Linked DNA regions of Caenorhabditis elegans. The protein of the gene in region 1 interacts with the protein of each later gene in a biochemical or structural test. Each region holds a gene or a part of one and is shown on either strand. Other genes may lie near its edges. The genes, in order: nlp-22 and gnrr-3.

Region 1 (3,232 bases):
AGACATGGTTATGGCACCACAATTACCAAATATTATAGTGAAAAATTATTAAAATTACTAAATTGATTTTTGAATTTTGAAAAATCTCAGTTGTTGCCACTTTTTTGAATGTCGTTCAAAAAAATTCCTTTGAATTTTATGGTCACATCTGCCAAATAACAATTTTCCTACAGGAGACAAAAATACGACAGTGCTAAAGTTTTGCCTAAAAGTGGCCAAAACTCAGTATTTGCCACTTTTGACTGGCAATAAAACATTTTCATGGAAATTGTTGGAACAAATTTCGGCTCATTGGTGCAACTGGGCCTTTAAAACTGGACAACTTAAACATTAAAAAAAAACCAATAAAACAAAGTTTCAGATTCAGATTTTTGAGTCCGAAACACAAGATATCAAAAACTTGAAACCGAGCAAAATAGCAGACTAATTTTCTCCCGTTTTTTCCAACTTCGGTTCCACTTTCTCATGAGTATTTTGGAGGCGTTTAATTGACTCTGAATTAGTCTGGTTTTGAAAATCGTATGATGTGTGCCCACCACTGTACTTTTTTCATAGCCTTCTTTATTAGCTTCTGCAGAAAAAATGGCATTTTTGAAACGAAGTTTTAAAGAAAAAATCTCAAGTTAACAGTTTTGTTTATTGAGAATAATTAGACAGATAAATGAAAACAATGCAAAATACGAAATAATTGGTGTAGCGTTAAACATATCGGAATGATCCGGTTAACAATTAACATCAGAAAATTCATACTCCGATTGGGAATCCAGTTAGTTCGTCCGTTGTTCGTTTCCCTGGACGGAATCCGGCTCGCCCAATCGCAATCGACTTTTTCATGATTGGAAGGGTTCGGAGTCTCCAATAGCGCAAGCGCCCCTCACGAGTGTTGCGCAGGTAGTTTGCTCGGTGAAGGATCTGATTGAAATCGACTTGATCGACAACTCCTAATCCGCGGAAGACATCGATTCCACCCTGAAATTACGGTGCTTGTTGCCATTTGAAGGAACTCGATTTTGGGAATTTTTGAACTTATACTTTCAAAATATCCTCAAATGAATGAATTTTTTAATAAACTTTCGCGAAAGTTTTTCAATATTTTTTTGTGGCGGTTCAAAATTTTCGCATAAAAATGGCCTAATTCGGACGGAAATTGAAATTTTGTAACCTATTGGTTGCCTATCCGCTTGAAATTTTAAACTTAAAAAAACGATGTAAATGTGCAAATTGAGTCAATAATAAAAAAAAAAAATTTTTGGGGATTTAAGGCTAATTTACAAACAAACACATCTAGGTCTTTTTTCGAAAATTTGAACCGTCGTAAACACAATTTGATCGGTACCCTTTTCCTTTAACATTGTGTAAAGCTAACCTGAAGCCCAAGAGCTGAGGTCTGGACCAGAAGAATGTCCAACGCGAAGATCGTCAATCCGATGAAGACGATTATGGAACGCATTTCCGAGTTGGGAAAGTTCGAGAATAAAAAAGAATAAAAAACGGGGGTATAGTGAGCACAACTCGATCGGCCAGAATTTATATGCTTTTTGCTCTGTTACATCTAAGGCGGAGCAAAACGGTTAAACGACCGGAACCGGTGAATGTTTTTTTTGGAAAACGTTGCTCTCGGTTTTGTGAACTCATAAAGTAACATGCGAAAAATTGCACAAAAACTACTGCTTTACACCCACAATGATTTGTTCTCTGGAAACGTGGGTTTCAAATTAGAATGATAAAAGTTCCTTATTCTAGTGATCAGTGATGATTACTCATGTCTTTGCTATCATTTCATACAGATACTTTATTTGATTCACAAGTAAAAATTAATGTTTGTAGAAATTCCAAAAATTATTTACTCCGAGAAATCATTGCGGTAAAGAGGATAATAGCTCTCTGCAAATGGCATTGATCGCTTTCCGCGGTTCCATCCAGCTGCAAATGCACGCTTCCCTGGGCGCATTCCAGCTCTGCCAATTGCCATTGATCGCTTTGCTGGCCGGAATCCTTGACGACTGATATAAAGACGCTTCTCCATAGTTAGTGGCTCCGGTTCTTCATCGGCATAGATCTCATCTTCGTCGTTTGGGATAACAATCATAGGGGTCGCCAAGTCGACAGCATCATCTTGGTCTAGGTCATTAGAATCTAAAAGTTGGGATTCGTAGGAATCATCTTTAGACGTTGGATGTTCCTGAAATGTTCATTTGCTACAATTACATAAAATGATAAAATAAGTAGCTCAGTTCATATGAGCTCACCGAGTAAAAACCCAGCTCCAAAGCATGAGCTGAGACTCCAAGAAGTGCCATCCAAATGACGAGGTGAGCTGCCATTGACTTTGAAAGTGATATCAGGTGGGACTGAGGACATCCTTCTGCTCGTCTTTCTTTTTATAGCACCTATTAAGAAAACGTGGTCTTGTAGTCCGGAAAACTGACACTACGATATTTTGGAGGATCGGATTTTTACGAGTTTTTTAACGATTTCGTAAAGGGACTACACTTCTACAATAGAATACAACGACTATAGGTGTATCTAGGAACTAAAAACAATTTTTTTTGAGAAGTTTAGAAATTTGCTCATCTGAGCACATTTTGGGTACATACATTCAAAATTCCAATACCTCCTCATCAGTGATAAAAAGGTCAAATGCGGAAAAGCCTGGAAGAACTGCGGAAAAATTGCCACAGATTTGGGTTTTATAGGCGGCTAATTATAATTTAATTTTGGAATTGGACAATCTGATTTCCCTTCAAAATATTTTTTTTCTTAACAATTTACTGACGACGAGCTGAAGATGATACTATCCCACGTCACTGATGTTTTTCCAACTAGAAAAAAAAACGTTTCCATAATGAGCTGAACATCGATCAAAACAACAGGGTACCCCTCTGAGAATTTTTTAATTCAGCTTACACAAAAAAAAATTGCGAACCGGCATACATTTAGTACAGTTTTGAATAACAGTAGGCAGTGAGTTTTTGCATTTTTTGAATTTTTGAAAATTTTTGAAAAAAAAAAGGTTTCAATATTGTCAGTGCGATTACATATAGAATTTATTCAATTGTATGGAGACAATTTTTTGGAAGGCTAAAAGAAAAAGAGCAAATTTTAATCGGACCCATACGTGCCTTCAAACTTGGCACACTGGTAGTGGACACATGGCTCAACAAATTGATTTCAACAAAATTTTTTGAACTGACCTACATGTTATATTAGTAAATCTGACTTTATATTGCAT
Region 2 (5,736 bases), 7.7 Mb from region 1:
AGCGGCAGGGGTAAGAAGAAGCGAAGGTAGTAATGAAAGTGCGACGACAAGGGCAAACACGAGCCGCCCTGGTCAGCGGTATCTCGAAATGATACATTGCAATACGCAACTGGCCATTCAAAATGTAATATCTGAGAGTTTGTGAAGGATAAGTGTCACTCTTCGGACACAAATTACAGCGGATTTCAAACTTTAAACCAGGAGTGAAAGAGAATAGGATTGTTGGAAACGGTTGATTTTGAATTTGTGATTAGATGATTCGCTTATCTCCGAAGTTTGAGTTTTAAACTCCAAGCTCAATGAATTAAGAAAAAGGTTCGGATGGTTGACCGAACATCAAATTGTGAAGAAAGGGGTAAAGGTCAAAAGTTAGAAAGTTGAACTCTAGTGGTTTAAAATATTAAATCAAAAGGAAGAGAACAATGGGTTAGGGTTCTCGGTTGAAATGGAACACACATTTTCTTTGGTTACATCTATATCTGTATTCAACAATCTCTGGTACATGTGTTTTTTGTCGTGCATTTTAGTATGAAATATCAATCGAAATGAACAAAATTTGACAAATGAATGAAAATATAACTGCGAAGGCCGGTCGGCGTGAGGCCGGCGTGAGGCGCCGCCGCCGCGCCGCTCTCACATGGAAGCCCTACTTTATTCACTTCGATCTTTTTATAGTGTTTTAAATACTTTCCAATTTGAGAAACACGGAACATTTCTGAGAAAATCGTAAATCTTATGAGTTTTCTGGGTGGATTACTTATTGGAAACCAAGACTGCCAAATGGGTTTTTGAATGTTCTCAAAAACTGTCGGTTTTTGCCATTAGGATTAAAAGCGGGAGAAACGAGCTCTCAGAACTTATACGTTTCTCTAGTTTCTTTTTCCGTTCCACTTACTCGTACTCATAAATATGATGTAGTTTTCAAATGGTTTCTAGAACCAAATACATCACGAAAATGTATATTTCTAATTTCCTACAATGCGATGTTGCGGGTCGTTGTTTTTTCATAAGAGAGATTTCATTCAGTTCGTTAGTAGTTCCACTTTTAATTTGATACTTTGTTTGTAATGTAATTTTTAACGATGATCAAGTTTTTTTCAACGATCATTAATATGTTTGTAATCACAACATTACACATTTCCGAATACTGTGCTAGCAATTAATAGATGCACAAATGGTTTTTGCTGTGAAAAAATTCTGTCCAATAGGATTTGTTTCAAGTTTTTTTTTTTAACTTTGATTATTGTTAACCATTTTACTTTGATTCCTGCAGTTGCTAATTCTCCAAATAGATTTTATGTCGGTTTTATTGAAAATTTAAGAAGTAATAATAATAATAAATATTATATTTTTAAATTACCGTTGTCGGTACTTGTTGAGATAACCAATACTGTAAAATTATGAATGCGATGGCAAATTGAATAAGCATTTTTGCATCTGGACATTTAAATACTGCATTTTGTTGGTTTTTTTTAAACATTTGCATGACTGAGTCTCAGCAAGATCTTTCAAATGTTTTTCCTTTGGTATTTTCCAAAGCAACTTTCAAACATTTCTAATTTTTTGAAAAACTATATTTTTTCTCAGTTGTGATTTCACCACAGGTTCAAAAGTTTACATCAGACTGGAAAGCTCCAAATATTGTTGTTTATAAAGAAAAATACTTTTCATCGACGATAATTGCAGTTTTCACGCCAATATTGCTATGTCTGCCTAAAGCTAACATATTTGTAAAGCAAAACTACGCCGGTTGATTCTGACAATCCTTTGGATTCAAATAGTTTCTGGAGTTATTCTCTTGTTTTCACACTTTTCTATGTTTTTCGTTTAACACTCCAGCCACCGTATCATTTAGCAGTAGTAACATCTGTCATGGCATCGTATTATTTACCAGCTCGATGAATACTACATATTTCTTCGCAAAAATGAAAAAAAAAAACGCAATTTTGTATGCCGAAAGTGGTAGTTTGTATAATCAAGCCCCTCCTATCTCGGTTTTCGTTTTACCACATCTCACTCATTTCTCATTTCCGGACAGTCACCAGCAAAGACACCTCACTTCTTTTTGCTAGTTTTTTTTCATTACTTACACTATACTACAATTCCAATTGTGAAACTTTTCAGAAAATGAACAACTCAACATCGGATACGTTTGTCATGATGCATTCGACTTCAGAAGTTATCGAAATGTTTTACCAGCTTGCATTTTTCATAATTGGTACTCCAATCAATATTTTTGCTTTTGTCAAAACAAGTCGGTAAGTGTTGCTAGAGCTAATACTCTTCTAACACTATAAAAGTAATAATAGCTAATTTCACATTTTGCAAATGGTTTGTCAGTTAAACTAATCTTATGTTAGTTCTGCATGCAAGACTAATTTTTATTAGTCTTAAGCACTGCAATATTAATAGAGAGAGCTGCAAGGCTATTTTCCAAGAAACCGGGGGGTTTTAAGTAATTGCAGATCCTTTTTGCATACTCGACTATCCGTGATTTAAAATTCGAACGATAAACAGTTTACTGAAGTACCTGCATAACCTAAGCCGCGCATATAATTTATTCACGTGCCAAACTATTACAAAACTGATTAAAAATTACAGTCATCGTTTTGATGTTTATTTTTTGTTCATGTTTCTAATTTTATTTGTATATTCAGAAATGTTCGAGAAGGAGGCGTGGAGTCCAGACTGGTCAAGCTTAGTCGACAGCTACTTATTGCCCACATAATGGTTCTTTTTATGTACGGGATCTGGAGAAGTTATTGGATATATAATATCGTCTGGACTCAAGGTGTAGATAATCATTTGAATAATAATTTTATTGTTTTTTAGGAGACATTATGTGTCGAGTATTCAGTTTTCTTTGTGCTCTGCCTTTTCATCTTTGGTCGAACATGGTAGCAGCTATTGCAATTGACATGCTTTGCTGTATTACGTAAGTACTCTATATCGGAATCACTGACTTATATAGTTTTTTTTTTCAGATCTCCACTGAGCAGCTATCGAACAGGGGCAAACCGAGTTAATTGGCTTATTACTCTTGCGTGGGGCTTTGCAGTTGTATGTGCATCACCAATGAGCATTCTGCGTGGAACCATTCAGATCAACGATGAAGATATGTATCAATGCTACCCAAGAACTGATGTATGTCAATTTCCTGTAATATCTAAACGAATTCTGTTAACATATAACGTTTCAGGTATTCAATGATGATGTGTTAATTGCATTCAACCTGTTTCATGTCATAACTTCGTTTTACATTCCATTGTTGATTGTTATCATATGCTATTTGGCTATCGGGGTATCGATACGGAAACAAATGGCGGAACGTCGTTTATTACAGGTATAATGCAATTTTGAAAATCTAACTTTTCAAGTGGAGGAGCCTAAGTTACGGAAATGTTGAAAACTAAGGATACATTCTCGATGAAATTCTGAGAAGCCAAAATTGTTCTACTTTTTTACTTCACCAAAACTTTCAGTGAAAAAATTCAACTTTTTTAACATTTTCTGGCTTATAAATTTTATAAATTTTAAAAATGGAAGCTGAACTCTTAAGTGCTTTAAAAAATGTGGAAACGTAACTCATGAGTGACTAACTTGTTATAGACAGTCTTATTTTTTTCCAGTGATCTTATGATCTGTATGATCTAAATATATCTGAAAACAGAAATTCATTTTTGGGTATAGAATGACTATTAATAACATTTTTGATTTGGTTACTGGAATAACACATCAATTGTATCCTTGAGAAAAGAAAAAAAATTTAACAAACAATTATCTGCTTGAAATCATCACACCTGGTATTTTCTAATGACAAAATAGTTATTTTATTCGGTGTAAGCAGATTAAAGCAAACAAATATGTATCACTGATGATTTTTTGTTGTGAAATTATGCAAAAACAGTTACACTAAAAACCAACAAATAATCAAATTAAAAATTGGAAAAATAAATTCATACAATTAACTTCATTTATTTTTCCAATTCGATACACGTAACAATTAAAAAACATAAACATATTTGTAGGACGGAGGACAAAGTGGACAAAAAACGAACAACACGAAAGCAAGATTTCTCAGAGCTTCTGTGGCAATTATTTGTACGTTCCTGTTCACATGGCTTCCATATCAAGTAGGCAAACTTGAAGTATCGTTTCAGTTATAGATACCGTGAATTTTAAGGTTTTGGCTCTTCTTCGAATTGTCTGTGTTTCTGAAAATTGCCAGGAAATTGTGAGCAAACTGAATTGGTTACAGGCAATTATTATAGCAAGGTATTCAGGAAAAAACATTCATTAATAGTTTTCCCTAATTGTTCTTATTTAGCACGTGCATCAATCCATTCCTATATCGTTTTGGCACTGAGCCAAAAAGAAACTCGTATTACTGCAGTACTATGGACACTGCTGGTAAGGAGGTATGCATGACGGTCAAGTGTTTTTCTTCTCTTTACCTCCGACACTCTCTCACTTCAAAAGCCCTTATCTAATCACGTGGTTAATTTCAACTCCCCTTCTGGAAACCGGTTATTTTCTATAACAAAATTTATCAAACTGCACGTATTTACGTCTTTTATCATTTGAGATAGAGTTCATGATATTCTCAAATTGATCAACCAATTTATGATGAGATGGCGTCAGTTGTCGAAATGGCGTCATACAAAAAGAGACTAGAAACACAGCTTATTAATTTGTGAACGTTCACATTTCAATTAAAGTGACCTTCTTCTCCTAAAAAATTTTTTTAGATTAAGTTTGCAGTAAATCCCCGCAGGTGGTGTGATTTTAGAACTAGACATTGTTAATTACACTATCACACCGTCTATCTTCTAATCACATTTCTCTTTTTCTTGCAACAACGACCTGTTCCACCACCACCTAGAACTACATTTTTCGCATCTTGATCAGCATCACTTTGCAGGAAGTCGGTCTATCCGCCGATCGACGACGGTCCGGGAAGCCGAGGCCCAGCGGATTGTTGCCGCAGCAAATCGCGCACACCGAGAACAAAACTCCTCCCAAGTGTCGCCTCGAGGTACACGCGCCACGGTTCGAGAACAGACGCGCGTCGCAAATCGACTCAAAAACACCAAAAGTAATGAGGTTTAGATGCACCGGATCACTTGACGGAAAAGCTGGCAGATGCTGAGGAATGACCATCAATTTGAAATATTTCGTGTATATTTTTATGTAACAAACTGGAACTTCTGATCGTTGAAAAACTTTTGTCGAACCAACAATGCGAAGATGTACATTATGTGATGTAGCACATTCCTCTGTTTTCAAGAATAATCCCTTCTGAGAAAAATTAATTTATGGTAATAAAACTGAGTGTGCTCTTTTGAAAGTGTTGTTGCATTTTTTGGGAGAAAGTTATGGATGTTAAAAAAAAAACAATTCCTATTCGTAAAATATCTTCTCGTGAAAATTTTTGGAATCTGGCCCAAATGCATGGTAGTACACTTTGCATATTGAAGCCATATAAAATTCATCTTTCAAACTAAAAACTTTCGGAAAAACGGTGAATCTCAAGGAAATAAATATTTTATTTGTTCCCGAGAAAACTATAAAATCTTACAGATCAAATGAAATTTTTTGATCATTTTCTGTTCCGGTTTGTTTCTTTTTTGCAATCCCCTTCTTTTGTTGTTTGACCTGTGTTTTCCCAAATTCCCATCCAGACACCACACTACATACAAATAACTGCAATAAATCTTGCCACAGCACTATAATCTA

Evidence for each region.
Region 2: the proteins of nlp-22 (region 1) and gnrr-3 interact in a test that uses a peptide from one of them, tested with the Caenorhabditis elegans proteins (one large-scale study listed by BioGRID).

Annotation. Positions count from the first base shown.
Region 1 is NC_003284.9:2,340,615-2,343,846, forward strand, and holds nlp-22 (Neuropeptide-Like Protein), read right to left. Parts: upstream 1,476-3,232; 5' UTR 1,451-1,475; coding exon 1,367-1,450; intron 970-1,366; coding exon 745-969; downstream 1-744. Other genes in the region: nlp-23 (Neuropeptide-Like Protein), read right to left, coding at 1,844-2,182, 2,250-2,324.
Region 2 is NC_003284.9:10,047,333-10,053,068, forward strand, and holds gnrr-3 (G-protein coupled receptors family 1 profile domain-containing protein), read left to right. Parts: upstream 1-2,127; coding exon 2,128-2,258; intron 2,259-2,657; coding exon 2,658-2,791; intron 2,792-2,832; coding exon 2,833-2,935; intron 2,936-2,984; coding exon 2,985-3,144; intron 3,145-3,199; coding exon 3,200-3,343; intron 3,344-4,028; coding exon 4,029-4,133; intron 4,134-4,183; coding exon 4,184-4,275; intron 4,276-4,327; coding exon 4,328-4,418; intron 4,419-4,921; coding exon 4,922-5,149; downstream 5,150-5,736.